3 linked regions of the Drosophila melanogaster genome follow. The protein of the gene in region 3 binds, or shares a complex with, the protein of the main gene of each other region. Each region holds a gene or a part of one and is shown on either strand. Other genes may lie near its edges.

The links.
Region 1: Cdk8 (region 3) and CycC share a complex: the UniProt entries of both Drosophila melanogaster proteins name them as parts of the cdk8 module of the Mediator complex.
Region 2: Cdk8 (region 3) and kto share a complex: the UniProt entries of both Drosophila melanogaster proteins name them as parts of the cdk8 module of the Mediator complex.

What each region holds. Positions count from the first base shown.
Region 1 is NT_033777.3:14,886,559-14,892,271, reverse strand, and holds CycC (cyclin C), read left to right. Parts: upstream 1-2,066; 5' UTR 2,067-2,214; coding exon 2,215-2,802; intron 2,803-2,862; coding exon 2,863-3,078; 3' UTR 3,079-3,268; downstream 3,269-5,713. Other genes in the region: UQCR-C1 (Ubiquinol-cytochrome c reductase core protein 1), read right to left, coding at 1-321, 396-487, 549-919, 982-1,310, 1,370-1,576, 1,846-1,914; CG33332 (uncharacterized protein), read right to left, coding at 3,313-3,477, 3,538-4,422; CG33331 (uncharacterized protein), read right to left, coding at 4,662-5,690. UniProt on the Drosophila melanogaster protein: Component of the Mediator complex, a coactivator involved in regulated gene transcription of nearly all RNA polymerase II-dependent genes.
Region 2 is NT_037436.4:19,834,525-19,841,558, forward strand, and holds the start of kto (kohtalo), read left to right. Parts: upstream 1-2,089; 5' UTR 2,090-2,151; coding exon 2,152-2,764; intron 2,765-2,825; coding exon 2,826-5,493; intron 5,494-5,567; coding exon 5,568-7,034. Other genes in the region: CG32221 (uncharacterized protein), read left to right, coding at 277-766, 830-1,521, 1,597-1,713. UniProt on the Drosophila melanogaster protein: Component of the Mediator complex, a coactivator involved in regulated gene transcription of nearly all RNA polymerase II-dependent genes.
Region 3 is NT_037436.4:9,834,938-9,842,429, reverse strand, and holds Cdk8 (Cyclin-dependent kinase 8), read left to right. Parts: upstream 1-3,759; 5' UTR 3,760-3,824; coding exon 3,825-3,955; intron 3,956-4,017; coding exon 4,018-5,251; 3' UTR 5,252-5,350; downstream 5,351-7,492. Other genes in the region: RasGAP1 (Ras GTPase activating protein 1), read left to right, coding at 867-1,868; I-2 (Inhibitor-2), read left to right, coding at 5,925-6,221, 6,284-6,381, 6,450-6,617, 6,997-7,091, 7,148-7,422. UniProt on the Drosophila melanogaster protein: Component of the Mediator complex, a coactivator involved in regulated gene transcription of nearly all RNA polymerase II-dependent genes.

The DNA.
Region 1 (5,713 bases), on a different chromosome or scaffold from region 3:
GGAGCGGATTCTGTTGTAGTCGGGCAGGTTCTCAACGGGACCCACGGCAGCGACGGCTGGGCACCGATCGTAGATGTACTTCATTGCGACGTCGCGCACATTGCCCACACTCACGGCATCGATGCGCTGCTCCAGCTCGTGCAGCGGGATGCGGCGGTTGTAGCACAGGATCTGGCGGCCAATGTCCTCGCAGATGGGTGTGGTGCCGTCGAGCTGCAGCAGCATGTTGGTCTTCAGAAGGTTCTTGGCGCGCTCGACCTCAGCCTCGGTAACCATGGTGCACAGACGCATCCACTCGGTCTGCACGTTGAAGAGCATATCCTGGGGAAGAGGTTTGTTTACGTAAAATTTGCTTTCTCTCGAGAGTTTTCTGTTGAATCATTAATTCTTCTTACCTCGCACTGCAGAGGGTCGCACACGAAGTAAATGCCCCAGAGTCCGGTGTCCTTGTAGCATGTGTTGAACGATTGGAAGCTGTGGCAAAGGTCTGTAGGGCAATAATAGTTAATAATCTCCATATCCTGGTCGTCTTACTGATGTACACTTACTGTCCTCAGCGCTGGCACGGGCCAGGTTGGAGGCGTTGTTGGCGCCACCGCCTTGGGAACGATCCCAAGCACCCACCAAGGTGTTGGCCACCATCAGGGGGATGTTGTCCTGGTCGGTCCAGCCGCAGCCTTCGACGGCGATGGCGACATGGGCCAGGGGCAGGGAATCGTCGCGCACACGCACCTCGGAGCCGGTGAAGCGGCAGGGAGTCACCTCCGCGGGCAGCACACTGGCCTCCAGGCCACCCAAGCTGCTGCAGGCAAGCTTGACCAGATCATCGTGCTTGACGCCGCCAGCAGCGGCCAGAACGATGCGCGAAGCCTTGTAGTGGGTCTGGATGTAGTCGGTCAGATCGGCCTTGCCAATGGACCTAAATAAATGAAGATTTTAATTAGAGACAGAGCATTTGTTATAAGAGCTGAATATACGTACTGAATGTTCTTGGTGGGTCCCAGGATGGTCTGGCCCAGAGGAGTGCCCTGATAGGCGGTGGCGTGAAGGTGATCGAAGACCACCTCCTGCAGGTTGCTCTCCACCTCCTGCATCTCGCGCAGAATCACCGAACGCTCGCGGGCGATCTCAGCCTCACCCAGCTTGGAGTTCTGGATGATGTCGGCCAGGATCTCGACGGCTTTGGGCACATCCTTGGACAAACACTTGGCGTAGAAGACGGTCTGCTCCCTGGAAGTGTAGGCGTTCAAGTGGGCGCCCAGGTTCTCAACCTCCAGCTCCAAATCCGTTTGCGAGCGCTTGGCGGTACCCTAAAAAGTGGCAGAAACGCATATTATACGCATTTAAAGCATCAAGCTAGTGAGCCAACCTTGAAGGCCATGTGCTCCAGGAAGTGGGCCACTCCGTTGTTCTTCTCGTTCTCGGAGCGCGACCCAGCATCGATCCACAGTCCCACGGTGGCGGTAGAGGCACCGGAATCCTCGCTAGCCACGCGGAGACCGTTGTCCAGCTTGGTCACCTGGGTGGCGGGTATGTTCAGCAGAGTCTTCTGTAGGGTGGCAGCCGACTTGTATCGCTGTAAGTTCGGGAAAATTGGGAAAACTATAGCCCAGAGTTAAGTAAAACACGAACATAACCTCAAAGTGCTTGTAGTGGGTTTTCCAAACAGTTTTCCCAAATATTTGTTTGAAAAACTGGATGGCTCTTGAATAACTGACCAACAAGAGGTTGTTTATCCCTTTTCTCACAAGAATAAACCACAATTGCAACCAAAAACACAATCATTTACAATTACGTAATTTAAATCCTCGGAAGCGTAATCATTGGATGGCTGTCTGGACTTACTTTGATCATGTCAACGCCCCGCATGAAGGAGCGCATATTCTGCGTCACGCCAAGAACTCGCAACGCCATCGTTTTATTAATTCGTTCAATAGCCTATTACTAAAAAATATTTAAGACTTTTTCGTCTGTGGCCGCGGCGCTGATGAAAAATTCACACACACACACCAATGTACTGCGCTGCGCAAAGTTGGCTGCGGCCAGTCAGCTGTTCGTGGAAAATAGCCCTGGTGTGCACACACTGGCTGAAACGGCAACACAATTTTTTCGTTTTTCCTGGTTTTCCGGCTTGCTATTGAAATAAACACCTAATTTGGATAGCTAACACGAAAATATTGGCCGACCTAATCAGCTAGGCCTACTAGTTACGAAATGGCGGGCAATTTTTGGCAGAGTTCGCACTCGCAGCAGTGGATTTTGGACAAACCCGATCTGCTCCGGGAGCGTCAGCACGATTTGTTGGCCCTTAACGAGGATGAATACCAAAAGGTGTTTATTTTCTTCGCAAATGTGATCCAGGTGCTCGGCGAGCAGCTAAAGCTGAGGCAACAGGTCATCGCCACGGCGACGGTTTACTTCAAGAGATTCTATGCGAGGAACTCCCTGAAGAACATCGATCCTCTGCTGCTGGCGCCCACTTGCATCTTGCTGGCCTCGAAGGTGGAGGAGTTCGGTGTCATTTCCAATTCACGACTGATCTCGATCTGCCAGTCGGCCATTAAGACAAAGTTCAGCTATGCGTACGCTCAGGAGTTTCCCTACCGCACCAATCACATCCTGGAGTGCGAGTTTTACCTGCTGGAGAACCTGGATTGCTGCTTGATTGTCTACCAGCCGTACAGACCGCTGCTGCAGCTGGTTCAGGACATGGGCCAGGAGGACCAGTTGCTCACCCTGAGCTGGCGTATCGTAAACGATTCCCTGCGCACCGATGTCTGCCTGCTCTATCCTCCTTACCAGGTTTGTGATCCTGATAATTTCTACAGCTTCCTCACATTTGAAGAACCTATTTTTTTCTAGATCGCTATAGCCTGCCTTCAAATCGCCTGCGTCATCCTGCAAAAGGACGCCACGAAGCAGTGGTTCGCAGAATTGAATGTTGATTTAGACAAGGTCCAGGAGATCGTGCGCGCCATTGTAAATCTGTACGAGTTGTGGAAGGACTGGAAGGAAAAGGACGAGATTCAGATGCTGCTGTCCAAGATTCCGAAACCGAAACCACCGCCTCAGCGTTAGAAGAGCTTCATAATCATTCATCATTAGCTGGTATTGCCCAATTGTGTGTTTGTACTCATATTACCAATGTATTTATGCCAATTAAACGAAAGTTTAAGCTAGGTGACTAAGCAATCAAAAATGTCATTTACAAATTATTTTGCCTTTATAATAATTATTTCTAAATTAAATTACATAATTGCTTAAGATTAACATGCGGTACGGATCGTCTGGATTTTTTATGGTTCATTTAACCTACAGATACTTAGCTTGACCCCTGGAGAACTTGGTGTTCAATATCTTGGCCTTGTCTACAATCTGCTTGGTCTGATTCTTGTCGATCTTGTTAAGTTTCAAGTCCACATCCCTACTAAAAGGTCTTCGTTCTGGCTTGGAACCCGATGCAGCCAGTTCTTTTTCCTTAAATTTATAACAATATTATATCCATATTATGTTTTTAAGAAATATTTTTCCTCGTACCTTTTCTCTCTGCTCTTTCCTAAGCTTTTTTTGATGTAGCTCCACTAGGGACTCCTCTCGCTTGTGCTTCTTTTTGTGCCTCTTGGCCATGCTCTCCTGCTCGTCATCCCGCTGCTGTTCGTACTTGACCTGTGCCATTTGCTCGAGTTCCTTCGAACTGAGCGACTTTGGGCCCGATGCAGCAGCATCCGCTTCACTCTGCGGGGTCTTCGTCCAGGATGATCGATCGCTAAAGTCGGGTCGCTCTTTTCCCTGATAGAAAGTGCGCTTCATATTGCTCAGGGCGGCAAGGCCGCTCTTCAGTCCCACATCTGGCAGCTCAAGCATCCACTCTTCGCGGACATCTTGGTCTGTAGATGTACCCAATCCCCCGCCCTCCAGAGCTGCCAGTTTAAGTGCCAAAGCACGTTCCTCCAGAGCCACTTGACTGGCATTTGGCAGAGGACCAAAGGTGCCAGCTAGGTCATCATCGTCCTCAGCTTCCGCTTCCTTAGTAGGAGACTTTTCCCGGGTCAAATTGCTGGGCAGGACGGGTCCTATCATGGCCTGCGGTTGTGGGGCTGGTTGGCTTTGCTCAGGGAGTTCCGGCTGCTGGGTCTTCCTTAAATGCGGCGGTAAAGCGGGACCAAAGGAATCTTCGTTGTTTGTAGCCACATCTGGCGGAGATGCATTAATTAAATGTGGAGGTTGCGTGTAAGGCACAGGTGGCTCCTCCTCATGCTTGCTGCGTTTCTTCTCCTTGTGGCGACGCTTTTCTTTCTTGTGCTTTTTCGACTTCTTCTTTTTGGACTTGTCCACATCTTTGCTGTGCTTCTTAAGCTTCCGTTTCCTTTGCCTTTCATCGCTGGACGAATTGCTATCACTACTATTGTCGTCGCTGGACATGATCTGCAAATACAATTAATGAAATAATAAGTAAACCAAGATATTCCTGAGGTTATAAAGAGGTCCATTGGATGTGAAAAGAGAGAATCCCCAAGAAAACTCAGGTCTTTGGATTGGGCTAAACATTATATTGCAGTTAACAACTTTAAAGCTTAAAAGTATTTAACAAAATGCAGCTGGATGGGACAACTTAGTCGGTAGAATGATTGGCAGCCAGGGGATTAACCCGAAAAATAAACCTAAACAGCGAATGTCTTTTGAGCCTTGCGATAGCTATACGCCAATGACTTGAGAATGCCAGCACTGGGAATATTTTTGATCGATTGCGTGACACTGCTGCGCCACACAATGTCGTTGACGGATGCCTGCAGCACCTCCGGAAGCTGGGAGGCCATGGATAGGTGATTCACCACCTGGGTGTAGTCGCCACGACAGGCGGCATTTCGCTGCAATCGCTTCTGAAGCTCTCGGGGCAACTGTCGCAGGTGTTGGCATGTAGCCGATGAGGATTTGTCCTGCTCGAAGATTATGGCTGGTTTCCGGCTCCCTGGTTCCTGGCCCTTCATGTTTACCGCCACATAGTCGGAAAGTTGTCCCAGGGAGGGTTGGTATAGGGCGAAGAAGTCATTGATTTGCGGACTAACTATGTTGTGCACTTTCTGTTTGTTTTCCCCGAAAATCATACGGAAATCGCCCTTGTAACTCAGTCCGGCGATGGTGTGGAAAAGTCCGTAGGCAGTGAACTTCTCTGGTAAAAGTAGCAGAGCCACTTGCAGCGCGGATACAAGATTCCTCTCCAGCGCAGCCTTGAGGGGAGGATTATCAGAAGGATTGACCAGATTCGTCACTGGTTTGTGCAGCCTTCCTGCCAAGTAAAGATGCCGCCAGTCAAGCAGATCCTCCAGCAGCTCCTCCTGCGACACCACGCCGTACTTTATGGTAATGCCCACATCTGGCAGAGGCACCAACGTGTTGCAATAGACACCCGCACCCAAACGCTCCTGATACTTGGCCACAAAGTTCGGTCCCAGGTGCCTAAGGGCGGAATAGTGGTCCGGATGACGGTGCAGGTTCTCCGCATGGAAGCCCCTAGCATCACGAACGCAAAAGACCAGATCCACAACGGTTCCCGGCGGAGGACGCAGGTTGTTTCCATTGCCGACTTTTCCATAGCCTTCCTGCTGTTTGACGCCGGATCCGTAGGCGAACATATAGCTGACACTGCCCAGAGGAAACCGCGCCACCGTGCGTCTGTATAGGTCCAGCATCTTGTGCGTGTTTTACCTCCTAA
Region 2 (7,034 bases), about 10 Mb from region 3:
TTTAAGGTCATGTTATTATTTACTGTAATTCTATTAAGAAACAAAGCTTAAACAATAGTTAAAATATCTTAGCTTTAACCTTTTAGCTTGAATCTTGCCAAAAGACTCTTACTTCGAAAATTGTCATCACTGCCACCAGTCCAATTAGTAAATAAATAGAACTTACCGACTTGGGATAAATTTTTCCATGTCAGGCGTACATAAACCAGTTGCCTTTGCTAATCTGGCCATTTGGCGCCTGTGACGGTCCCGCGCAATGAGCATAGTCAGCTAATAATGGCCCGCATCACCAGTATTCTGGACTTGGACCCCAGTTCTCTGTTGTTCATCTTCAAGCTTCTAAGCTTGGAGGACCAGTTGCACTTGGCGCGATGCTGTCGCATTTTTAGGGATGCCTTTCTTCGCCTGCATCGCCATGATTTCCAGGATGTTGTTGACAAGGATATGAGTATAAGGACTCTGGAGGATTGGCGCACCTTTCTGTGGCTCTGTGGCAGTCGCATCGGTACACTGGAATCCCACTTTGACGATGATCACCCGCTGCAGCTGCTCCCGATGATCAGCAGACACTGCTACCGACTGAAGTCCATCTCTATATACAATGCAACAGTGGCACGGGCGCAACCGTATTTATTGAGGATGAGCTCCCTGGAAAAGGTGCACGTGCGTAACTACAAGAGCACCAGCAAGGATCTAATAAAAGCCATTGGGATACACCTTCCGCGGGTCAACAGTCTGAGCCTGGAGAGCTTTGAACGCAAGGAGTGTAAGAACTATTTAATGTTCACCTTATCACAACAATATTATTTAATTGCTTCTCCCTTCACAGTACAAGAAGTACGTCAGTTTAGCGAGATGCTGGAACTTGGCTTGTACGACGACGTGACCGCCTCGGAATTCGCAACAATTGTGAAACCCATGAGGAAGCTGCGATGCCTTCAGCTGCGCAACGCCAAACGCTTTCTGACTACCAGCAATCTCAGGATGCTGGCCACCAACTGCCGCCACCTGGAGAAGCTGACGTTCAATGACTGCGACGCCGATCTGTTGGTCCTGCCGCAGTTTGTAAACCTCAAGTACCTGCAATTATACTGCTCGGAGGATATGAAAACGCGCCTGTTCAAGGCACTGGCCAAAAGCCAGTGCTCCATTCAGTTGGAATACCTCATCCTGCACCGCAAACGCTGGATTGACGAGGAGCAGGCGCAGTACATCAGTGCTTTGAAGTGTCTCCGGTGGCTGGTCTGCAAGCCTCGTGACGATCTGTGTGTTCACCACTTGGCGAAGTTGAGTCGATTAGAGTGCCTTTCCATACAGTCCGCTCGTGAGATTGGAGAAACGCAGCTCTCCCTTTTGGTGGCCAACAATGAGCGCCTTCGGTATCTGAACATTTGCTATTGCCTGGGCATCACAGACGCCTTCGTCTTGGACACGCTGGCCAGCTTATCGAAACGCTCAGCTCATCAAACCCTAGAGCTATTTGCCGCGGCCACTGACATTAGGCATGACATCATGGAACGGGTGAGTAATATTTAAAGCACATACATATATTCGAAAGTCCTTATGTTAATGTGACACTTTGTGCTTCGTTTGCAGCTACCGCACGAATTTCCCCTGAAAATGCTCTGTTTGAACTTCGAGTGCAGCGATGGAATGACAAGCGGCGGACACTTTTATGCCGATGAGCCGGAATTCGATCGCCAAGCCTTGTGAGGCCTTATTCGTTTAACAACGAATGTTTCTTCAATCATTACCAAAAATACAACGTAAATTATTTAATATTTATACGCAGCTTTATTCGTGATCTTACCACTTTGAGTGGTATTTCTTTTGTTAGTGCACAACGATGTAACTTTTTCACTGCATAATTAAAAAATTACGTCATATTTAAAGTACTGTATCAGGTTGATTGGGGATGTGTGGCTGAACATGATAAGATTACATTTGTAATATTTACAACCATTTAACACTTAGCTTAAATTCGATTGCATCCGCTAGATTGTTCGCGGGATGTTATCGAACTATCGATGGCTCATCGCATTTTTTCGCCCCACCACTGATATTTTGATTTGTTGTTGGGTTGGCGAACAGAGGAAATCGGGAATTCGCTAAGAAAATCTGTTTATAAAACGCAACTAGAGGGCCGCGAAGATGCTGTCCATGCTGCAGGAGAAGCGTCCGCTGAAGCGCACCCGTCTGGGTCCGCCGGACATCTATCCGCAGGACGCGAAGCAGCGAGAGGACGAGCTGACGCCCACGAATGTGAAGCACGGATTCACGACGACGCCACCGCTGTCCGATGAATTCGGTACGGCCCACAACTCGAATGTGAACGCCAGCAAAGTGAGCGCATTCTTTAGCGGCGTCCTGGCCAAGAAGGAGGAGCTGATGACCCTGCCGGACACGGGGCGCAAGAAGCAGCAGATCAACTGCAAGGACAACTTCTGGCCCGTTTCGCCGCGTCGCAAGTGTACGGTGGACGCCTGGTTTAAGGACCTCGCCGGTAACAAACCCCTACTTAGCCTAGCCAAACGGGCTCCATCGTTCAACAAGAAGGAGGAGATCTTCATTACTCTGTGCGAGAACCAGGTGAACATGCAACGCGCCACCTGGTTCATCAAGCTGAGCGCCGCCTATACGCTTAGCTTCACCGAGTCTAAGAACAAAAAGCGATCCATTTACGACCCGGCTGCCGAGTGGACCGGCAACATGATCAAGTTCATGAAAGAGCTGCTTCCCAAGCTCCAAGAGTATTATCAGCAGAGTGAGTACAGTCCTTAAGTTCTATAATCTATCAACTCCCTTATTCAACTTCTTGATTTTAGACCACGACAAGTCCTCTTCGAATGGCACCACTTCCGGAAGCCTGACCGCCGCCGGTAATGGTCCTGCCAGCAATGGCTCCACTGGCACCAGCTCTATTAACTCCGTCACCGGTAGCAGTGCTTCCACGAACGTAATCCCGGTACCCAGCATGGCCAGTCCACTGCCACCGATTCATAGCCCAGCTAATGGCCAACAGGCAGCTCCTGGCGGAGGAGTGAATGCCGGCAGTGTCATGCCGACGACGGGAAGCCTTGGCGGAGTAGTCGGTGGGCCGGGGTCTTCTGTGGTAGGAGGCGCAGCGGGTGCAGGAGCTGCAGTTCCACCAGGCTCTACAATTTCTGGAATTGGAAGCCAGTTCGAAGATAGTCGCAATGCGCTTAAGTATTGGAAATACTGCCACCAATTGAGCAAGTACATGTACGAGGAATCACTTTTGGACCGACAGGAATTTCTAAACTGGATCCTCGACCTTTTGGACAAGATGCGTACGCAGGCAAGCTTCGACGAACCGTTGAAGAAATTGGTGCTCAGCTTTGCCCTTCAGTACATGCACGACTTCGTCCAGTCGGAGCGTCTTTGCAGAAAGATGGCCTACATAGTGTCCAAAAAACTGGCCCAGTTGCTGAACACTGTCGTAGAACAGCAGACCATCAAAGAGTTGGACGAGCCGAAGTTGCAACAAGATCCCTATGAGCTGGCGCTTCAGGAACAAATGAGTTGTCCCCATCATCGGGATATAGTGCTGTATTTAAGCACGATCCTACAGATCATCACAATCGAGTGCCCCACAGCTCTGGTCTGGAGTGGGATAGCAGCTCACCGAGCACCCTCCTCGTTGTTGGGTAGTCCGCTGGACCATTTGCCTTTGGCGCCCTCAGTCTTGCCGATGCCCACACGCTGTCCGCGAACCAATCACGAGATTCGACGTCAATTGCGGGCCGCCGAGTCGGACATCGTATTGCGCACTCAGCATGCAGAGCAGCGCTGGTTTGCAGCCAAGTGGCTGAGTGCCGGCAAGAATCAATACACCAGTGTGCTGGCTACACTGGACCACTTGGACACGCACTGCTTCGATCGCATGGAACACAATAATAGTATCGATACCCTATACGCACAAATATTTCCCAGCCCAACTGTCAGTCGCAGGCGGGAGGAGGATCAGGTGGAACCTCGTCCGCCTTATGAACCCAAACAAGACAAGGACACGGTACGCATTCTGTGCGAGTGGGCTGTGTCGGGGCAGCGTTGGGGAGAACACAGAGCCATGGTGGTGGCCATTCTACTTGACAAGCGCCAGATCGACGTGACAAGCACGCCGGCGGATCAACAATCCAGTGATAAGGATGACAAGGACTCGCTAGCTTCGGGCGCCGGCTTAATTGATGGCCTGCCTGTGTTTCAGCACGTGTTAATGCACTTCCTTGACCACGATGCTCCCGTCCTCGATGAGCACGTGAGCAGTCCACAGCAGCGCACGGAATTTACCAACCTTGTTCAGCTGTTCAGTGCATTGATTCGCCACGATGTCTTTTCGCACAACGCGTACATGCACACTCTAATTTCACGAGGAGATCTGCTCCTGGAGTCGGTGCTGGTGATCAAATCAGGAACAACGGCCACGAAAACATCGCCGCCACCTCCAGCTCCACCACCAACGACGACGCACGGTTTCGATGATGACGGATTCGGCGGGGGCCTGGACTTCAAACACAACGAATTTGATGATTCCAATGTGGACGACGATTTGGACAAACTGGTGCAAAATATTAAGGAGAAAGGACAACAGCACGAAGCTCCAGACAGTCCCAAGATTGGTCCTCCAGGCGATGGAGAAACCAATCCTGGCGGTAGCATATCGCGGCATTACGTGTACACCAAGCACTTCCCCATCCCCCAGGATGATCCCAGCATGAGCAGCTACAGCAGTGAAAGCAACCAGCGATACATCCTGCTCTTCGGAGTCGGCAAAGAGAGGGACGAGAAGAAGCATGCTGTCAAGAAGATGTCTAAGGAAATTGGAAAGCTTTTCACAAAAAAGTTTAGCATAGATGTGGCGGCGGCCGGTCATGTGAAGAAGCACTCGCGCAACGAGTTTAACTTCGAAGCTACCACGTCCAAGTGCCAGCAGATGGCTTATTTCGACCAGCATGTGGTCACAGCCCAATGTGCGGCCAATGTCCTGGAGCAGCTGAACGGATTCGCGTTAGGGAACAACAACTACCTGCCGGTACAGGAGCACGTGGCGTTCCTCTTTGATCTGATGGAGCTGGCTCTTAATATCTACAGTCTTTTGGAACTGTGCGATAGTCTGTTGAAGGAGTTGCCTGAGGTGGAGCACCAGTTGCAGCTAAAGAAGTCAAACCTAGTGCGCAGTTACACCACTTCACTTGCCCTCTACATCGTCAGCATCCTGCGGCGCTACCACAGCTGCCTTCTTCTTTCACCGGAGCAGACGCTGTCTGTTTTTGAGGGAGTCTGTCGTACCATTCGGCACGTATCGAATCCGAGTGAGTGCACTTCGGCGGAGCGCTGCATTATTGCCTACCTGAGCGACCTACACGAGTCGTGTGTTTTGCTCCAGGGAAAGGAACAATCCACGGAGTACTACCAGCAGCTGCAGTGCATCAAGCGGTTCAAGGACATATTCAACACTCCAGAGCAGCTTGAGTGAGTTTAGATCGCAAGTTCTTCCCCAATAATATAATATATAATATTAACAAATATTACCATTTTTTATTTAGCCTACCACCTCAGGGTTACAACCCACTGTTGTTGCAGGAGCTTTTCATGGCCCCTCGACGCGGTGGTAAACTGGATCCTCACTGGCTGGGAACCCTGCACGAGTCGCCGGCCAATGTATACAGTTTCGTGTCTAACGCATTAATAGCCGTCTGCCGAGAGACGGACAACGAGCGGCTGAACGATGTGGCCCTCGCATGTGCCGAACTGACCGCCAGCTGCAACGTCTTGTCTGAGGAGTGGATATACGCACTGCAGAGTCTGTGCAGCGGCAGTAAGAGTCCGCGTTATCCGCACCTGGGCGGACAGGTCGACATTGGACAACTTAAGACTCACAACGCCCTGGCCGTGTTCGTATGCATTCTGGTGGCCAGACATTGCTTCTCACTAGCCGACTTTGTAAGTAAGTTCGCCCTGCCTACATTGGCCCGATCGGTAAGCGCTGGTGGAGCCGAACTGAGTGTAGATGCAGAGGCAGGTGCTCGTCTTACATGTCACTTGGTGCTGAAGCTGTTTAAGACCTTGGAGATTCCTCAACCTGGCATGTACTCGGTAAGCACTTCCCCGAATCCACTGCACGCTGTGGGAAACGACTTTAGCATTCGGCTGAGCTGCGATCGTCATCTTCTGGTGGGTGCCCATAAGACCATTCCCATTGCCGCAGTGCTTGCCGTGCTCAAGGCCATTCTCATTGTTGTGGACAATGCGGCGCTTAAAACACCATTGGCTTCCGGCAGCGGCACCTCCTCTGGCGGATTGGGCGGAGCTTTTGGAAGCGGCAAGCGTAGTGGCTTCAATACACCGGTCCATCCGGGAAGCACACCCAAGAGCAACGAACAACGACCGGCCGATCTCAGCCAGATCCTGGGCACCAGCGATTTACAATTGGGCAGCAGTTTGACAAGCGAACCCGAAGCCCTGCAACAGCCATCGGTCGGAGGAATGGAGCAGATCTCGCTGTTGGAGTTCGCCCAGGCGGTGCTCAAGCAGATCTGCGCCCAGGAACACGTTCTGGAAAGATGCCTAAAGAACGCAGAGCAACTCTGCGACATGATAATCGACGAAATGCTGACCGCGAAACAGGCACAGCGGGTTCTGCACATGATCTGCTATCCGGAGCCTGAGTTTAACATCATCTCCGAACTGGATCAGCGCTCAATGATCGTACGCATACTAGAGAATCTCGGACAGTGGACACTGCGTATCTCGTGGCTGGATCTTCAGCTTATGTACCGCCAATCGCTGAGCAACAACGCGGAGCTTAATGTTTGGCTCGACACAGTGGCACGCGCGGCAATCGACGTCTTCCACATGGAGGAAGTTGTCCTGCCGGGTGCCGTGAAGGCGACCCACAAACCCAAACCGTCCACCTGGCTAGTGGCTCCACTCATCGCTAAACTAACACCAGCGGTGCAGGGCAGGATACTTCGAGTGGCTGGTCAGGTTCTTGAGAGCATGAACTATTTCTC
Region 3 (7,492 bases):
CGGCTGTGATTTGCATGTGTTGCAACGAATAATGCACACGAGAGCAGTGGTGTGCCGGAAACGTGCGATCCACGCCACATCTATAAATAGGCAGCCAAAGCCCACACACCTCCGGGCAGTGATGGTAATTTAGCTGGTGTTACATGCTAGATGGTTAGGTTGCGAACTTGCAAAGCATTAGATGGAGCTTACATGTCAGAAAGAATAGTAGGAGTTATAGTTAGTACTCTAACTTTCCAAGCGTTAAACTTCTTTAGAAAGCAAATAAATCCTATAGCCGCATAGTTCTTTCTTTTTAGTCTATCTATAATTAGGTTTCATTTCGTTCTAAAAAAAAAACATCATCACTGCCTCCGGCGGCAAGCTCATGACTGAACGATGTGACTCTGTGTGGGCGTAGAGCAGTGGCTGCTAATCGATGGCGGCAGCAGGCAGGCCCATCCTCGGCGACAGTGAAAACCGAACCTCCAGTCAGTTGCCCGCGAAACTTTCACTAATCACTCACAGAGTTTTGTGTGGCAAATGACAAGTTGCGGCAATTAAAAATAATTAGCATTATTATGCAGATGAACTGGCGGAGCTCCGCTTTGCGTACGCTATTGTTATTGCCATTTGAAGGTAGTAAGGCAAAAAAGGGAAATTTCAAAACCTAGAAACCAATGCAGCCGACGCAGAAGAGAATCGTCAACGTGGGTGCGATTTCTTGGCGTTACGTTTTCTTATTTTTTAACGCAGCCAAGATGTGGGAATTGTCTCAGCCAGCGATTTCACTTGGGTGCGATTGTTTTGCAATTGCGCCGCGCACAGAATTTATGTTAATTGCACAAAGATGAGACTAAGATTTACTTTCGCCTCTTCTCCCACAGATTGTGCACAACGATCGCTCGCTGATTGTGCAGACAACGAACTGCGTGGAGGAGCGCGAGTGGTTCGACCTGCTGCACAAGATATGTCTGATGAACTCCATCCGGATGCAGTACTTCCATCCCTCGGCCTTTGTAAGTGGATTCTACAGCTGCTGCGGCCGGTCGGATGAGAATTCACCGGGCTGTAAGAAGGTGTTGGACAAGACGATGGACTACTTCCAGATGGATTTAGTAACGGCGCTGGATCCAGCGCTCGATCTGCAGCGCATCCACACGCTGATCATGTCTAACATGAGTGTGCTGGAGTCACTGCTAGATCCGCTCACCTATCACCAGTCTCTGTCGCAGACGCAACACCAACAGCACAATCCTCTGGTGCCGCTGGCCACCGATCTGCAGAAGCATTCACCACAGGCCTTCGCTGAGTTCAAGCGAACGATTGAGAAGCTGAGAGAGAAGGCCTATGCCATCGATAGAGATCATCGGGACTACAAGCAGGGCATTACGCGGCAACTGAAATACGGCAGCAGACAGGCACCCATTGGCGATGATAACTATTGGCATATGATGCGAGCCGCCGGCCAGTTGAATCAGCAGCATCACCAGCAGCAGCAACATCAGCAGCAACAGCAACAGCAGCAGCAGCAGCAACTTCAGCAGTTCCAGCCGCAGCCAGTGCTGCCGCAAATGCAGAACGTTCGGGCGTATCCTTATCAGCCAGCTACGAGCAACATGAACGCCTACTGTCTGCACAACATGCAGTATCAGCAGCAGAGATTGCCGTTCCATCAGCAGCAACAGCAGCACCATCAGCAGCTCCAGCAACAGCAGTCGCAGTTCCAGCCCCTGCGCAGCCATCAACTGCAGCGCCACAACAACAATTTGAACAACAATAACTGCGGCAATGGATCCTCCTCCAGTCCATCATCGACCACATCAAGTGTGGTGGCCGCACCGCCCAGCACCACATCGTCATCGCAGCCAGCTCCACCGATTTATTAGCGTTCAAGGCTGTGCGTATTCGCTTTGCCGCGGGCCATTATCACGACCAGGTAAAGGAATACGCATCGATGTGGCAAACACAACCCCCTACCGCTCCTACGCAACCAGAGGATGCTGCTGTACAAAACGATTAATTGTGCTAATTTCTAGGCTCTTGTTTTTTTTTGTATCATTTTTACGAGTTTAACGTTGTAAAGGTCTAGACTAAGTTTTTTTAATTAACAGTTTTTATACACCAGATTTTTACGGTACCGCCTACACCAGCTACAACAACACGAGGAGAAAACAAGAGGAACGGAAACGAAATCTAAATATTTATAAGCCTATTTATTTTTTTGTATGTGCTAACATTATTTTTACACGAAAACAAAATACCCAATATGGAAAGAGCATTTCTATACTTGTGTGAGCGCAAAGAGGGCAGAGAACCACTGAAAACTGATAACTTTATAAGCCTAAACTACTAAAAACTCAGAAACTGCTAAGATTTTTTAAAGCCTAGCCTAAGTTAAGTATCGGCGGGATGATGAGTAGCGAAATGAAAATGAAAAGATGTAAATAGCAGATACACGAGTATATATATATCCCACAGTATGTATGTACATGTGTATGATTAACTTCATTATACCAGTTAATTTAGGCGTAGCAAAAATTTCTAAAAAATCAACTAAACTAGGCGTTTTGCCCAGAGGCGACACACGCGAAAAGCAAATAATTCTAACGCAATCTGAACGCGAGAAAAATACTGCGAAAAGCATGAAAAAAACATACATTTACATGTATATTTACTTTATATAACTGTCATACAGCTAATGTTAAACAACACACGATATGTATTCGGCAAATTCTAGAATACAAACAAAAAGCATTGTTAAGAACAAATTTACTTCCATTTTGCATATACAAACACATACGCACGCACACCTATATTTATTAAATGCATTTAATTTCATATTAAACTTAAAACGAAAAACAAGTTAATTGTTACACAAACACGATTTGGTTAGCTTCGACTTACTTCCACCGATTTGTTTCCAAAGCTCTTCCATATTAATTACACATGTAATTTACATCTAGAACTAGAATGTTAAATAATCTAATTTTTGCCATATTTAGTTCAGTGTTCATCAATCGCATTGAAAAGTGTCTTCCTTCGCCGCGTTCAATCATATTGCCTTTTGTTTATGCATTCCAATCCAATAATTTGTGCATTTCTTAATTCTAATATCTGCATAATGTACATAGAGATACGAAACGGAGAAAGAAACACGACGAGATGTTGCTATGAATTTAAATTGTTTGGAGTTTCCAACGTGGTTCATATACATATAATTTCACTTGCATTTTAAGGACACAATTATAGTTTACTTTTACCATGCCTAGCTGATAAGTTGTTGGTACAAAGAATCGAAAATAAAAACATAGATATTTTCCAAGGGAAAAATAAAGCGTATCGCCAATGGATAAATTTTGATTTCGTTTTCTTTTGAGTTTATTATTGATAGAGCTTTCATATTTTATTGTGATAGGATTATACAAGCACCTTGTCAAGTACTATTGGATTACCTATTTTTCTATATAACATCCAATATATATGTATTTGATTTGGTTCAGAATTCAAAAATATTTAGGGGGATTATATTTCTATTTTCTTTCTTTCTTTAGAAACAAGTTTTTTTTTTACGAGGTTGAATGAAATATACAGAAAGTTTTTCTGGCTTTGCTTGTTTGTGGATACAATAGAATTTTTTAAACAGTAAACAAAAAATTAAAAAAAACAAAATTATAAAAAAATGTTTTCTGTTTTAAAAGGCTAGCTATAAAAAAAGCTAGGTATGGCGAGCACTGTTCCCATTTTCCATCCCTGGTTAAGGCTGTGTTATCGTTATCGGGAGACAGCTGATTGGCGGCATCTTCATTTACAAACAATTGTGGAATTTGCAAACTTTTGTAAAAATGGACTACGATTTCAAGATGAAAACGCAGATAGAGCGTACGAAAGTGGAGGACCTATTCAACTACGAGGGCTGTAAGGTGGGACGCGGAACATACGGCCACGTCTACAAGGCGAAATGGAAGGAGACAAGGTGAACTGGTCATCGGGTGCTCTTCAAACAATATAAATAATTATAGTATTCATGTTCTTTAGCGATGGCAAAGAATATGCCTTGAAGCAGATCGACGGCACCGGATTGTCCATGTCCGCCTGCCGCGAGATCGCATTGCTGCGCGAACTGAAGCATCAGAACGTAATTACCCTCATCCGGGTGTTTCTGTCGCACAACGACCGCAAGGTGTTCCTGTTGATCGACTATGCGGAGCACGACCTGTGGCACATCATTAAGTTCCATCGGGCTGCTAAGGCCACCAAAAAGCAGGTTGTGGTTCCCCGCGGTATGGTTAAAAGTCTGCTATATCAGATTCTGGATGGGATTCACTATCTGCACAGTAATTGGGTGCTACATCGTGACCTGAAGCCGGCCAACATCCTGGTGATGGGCGATGGCAACGAGAGGGGCCGCGTAAAAATCGCCGACATGGGTTTCGCGCGGCTCTTCAATGCCCCATTGAAACCGCTGGCAGATCTGGATCCCGTGGTGGTTACCTTTTGGTATCGCGCTCCGGAACTGCTGCTTGGCGCTCGTCACTACACCAAGGCTATCGACATCTGGGCTATTGGCTGTATTTTCGCCGAACTACTCACTTCGGAGCCCATCTTCCATTGCCGCCAGGAGGACATAAAGACCAGTAATCCGTACCATCACGATCAGCTAGACCGCATCTTCAATGTGATGGGCTTTCCGCAGGACAAGGACTGGGAGGATATCAAGAAGATGCCGGAACATCATACGCTGACAAAGGACTTTAAACGCTCCACATACTCCACCTGCTCGCTGGCCAAATACATGGAAAGGCACAAAATAAAGCCAGACAGCAAGGCCTTTCACCTGCTGCAGAAGCTGCTGCTAATGGATCCCAACAAGCGCATCACCTCCGAACAGGCCATGCAGGATCAGTACTTCCAGGAGGAGCCGCAGCCCACGCAGGACGTGTTCGCCGGCTGCCCCATACCGTATCCCAAGCGTGAATTCCTCACCGACGACGACCAGGAAGATAAGTCGGATAATAAGCGACAGCAGCAACAGCAGCAGCAACAACAGCAGCAACAGCAGCAGCAACAGCAGCAGCAACAACAACAGCAGCAGCAGCAGCAGCAAATGAACGCTGAGCCGAATGCAAAGAGAGTTCGATTGTCCGGAGCTGGTAACCAGCAAGATTTTCACCACCAGCAGCAGCAGCAACAGCAGCAGCAGCAACAACAGCAGCAGCAGCAGCAACAGATGATGTTCAATCAGCAGCAGAACTTCCAGCGCTTCAACTGAGAGACTGATACATGCAGCATTTTTTCTACAACACCTACTAATTTCTAGCCTTCTAAGTATTTAATTTAATGACCTTGATAATAGCAAGTAAAGTGTACGATATAAAACGTTGATTTTTAATGGACAGGGTTTTCTTTATTTAATTTTGTGAACTCCAATTAACTCAAATTCGTTGAAATATCTTTCCGAAGGATATTCAAAAATAAATTTGAATGCATGTTCTTTCCTCTCAAAAATGAATTTCTCAAACGAAGTTTTGAAAACTATTTTTAAAATTGGTTCGAGTCTGAGCTATTTATTTAAAGCATGTTATGTTTTTGTGTCGGCTTGGGTCACGATACGCAAGTATCGATTAAATGTAATCGAAGGTGCCATCGCTGTGTTGCCAGCTCTAGTAGAATTTGTTAGAATATTTTACCGGATTTGCCATTTGCTTTGCAATACAAATTAGAAGAGAATATCCACACAGTGACCATTAAAGCGTAAAGAGCCAAATCTAACGTTTTCCAAATTAAGATCAAAACCGCCCGTCTGGCGACATCGATGAGATCGTGGCCCTCGCCCAAAACCCAGCTGGCTGCCAACTTGAAGATTGTGGCGTAAATTGCCCTCCGGAAACGCAGTTGCAATTGCAGTTAACAGGCGAAAGTCACACAAGTAAGTGGGATTCGGAATGGAGGCGGTGGTGCAGGCGGAGGCGGACGACAACAATGCGTCGGATGTCCAGCGGGGTGTTGGTGGGGCATTGCTGGCCGTAGTGGCCACCCAGTGGGCGGCAATGGCAACCCCTCCAAGGGCACGAGGTTTCGCCGCGACCTGTGCCATTATAATCTGGCGAACATCGCGATTTCAGTGCCTGTTCGGCTACTGCCGCCGTGATTCACGATTGTCCAGCAGCAACAGTGGCAGCAGCAACAGAAACAACAACCATAAAATCTACGAAATCATCAATGACTCCCAACCGCCTGACGTAATTATCCGCGTGCATTGTTCGCAACTAAAGCACACTCTGGTCTTTGCCCATTGTTACAGGTAACACAGATAGCCAGGATGCAGAACAATCCCAGCCCACAGCTACCCTGCAAGGGTATACTAAAGACTTCGCGTAGCTTCGACAAGTCGGGAGCCAGGTGAGGTCATCGAATGACCCCAGTTAATAGCCCTTATTAATTGGTTTCTTTTTCATCCTTTTAAAAAGTTTTCGCAAAAGTGCCAAGTTCGATGAGCTGAACGTGATGCAGACCTTCCATCCGGCCGACAAGGACTACGGACACATGAAAATCGATGAGCCCAAAACGCCGTACAACTACACGGAGGGCTTCGACGAGAACAGGGACGAGCTGGACACGGAGTTGCTAGTGGAGAAGTATGTGGAGCTTTCCTATTGTTTACTTGCTAAATGGTTTGGCAAGAGCACAGAGTATCAAGTTTCAAACAAAACTGATTTCCAGAAAATGCGCCGTTCACATTTGTTTGTTTACATGTGACTTATAGATTCAGAGATTAAACAATCGTTGATAATTATACGATTTGCAAAATGATAATCAAATATATCAACATTATTGAGCAATATGACTGCCTCAGATTTCTTAAGAATATAACTAGCTAAATTCATAATCAATAATTTGTTTGAAAAGAAAAAGTTTTTTTTGAAATTTGAAGACTTATTTTAAAGCCGTGCCAGTCATTTTGTAGTTTACATATTATTGCACTTACAATTACTAAAAACACATACTAATTTGCAGACTCCGCATAGCGGCTAACACACAGCCGTCGACAGAGAGCATCGAGGACGATGGTTCCTCCGGTGATGACCAGCCCCTTAGCGAAGAGGAGCGACGTAAGTACCATGAACATCTCAGATTCCAACAATTGCTCAAACATATTTGCTTGCAGAACGGCGGCGCGAATTCGAGCGACGCCGTAAGGCCCACTATCGCGAGTTTGAGGCCGTCAAACTGGCACGAAAACTGATCCAGGAGGAGGACGACGACGATGACGACGAGGACAAGGGTGCGGATAGCCGGCCCTCGGGCTCGTCACAGGGCGCTTCCAGCTCCGGACGTTTCGCGAGCAGTTCGACCAAACGGTCGAGCTCTCAGGCTGACTCCACCACATCCCCGTCTACCAGCGCCGGCCAGAACATGGACCTGGAGCCATCGAATAACTAGAAGCAATGTCAACCCATCAATCAATCACTAATGTTTACCTAGCGGACAATGGACGATTCTGAGGGCAGCT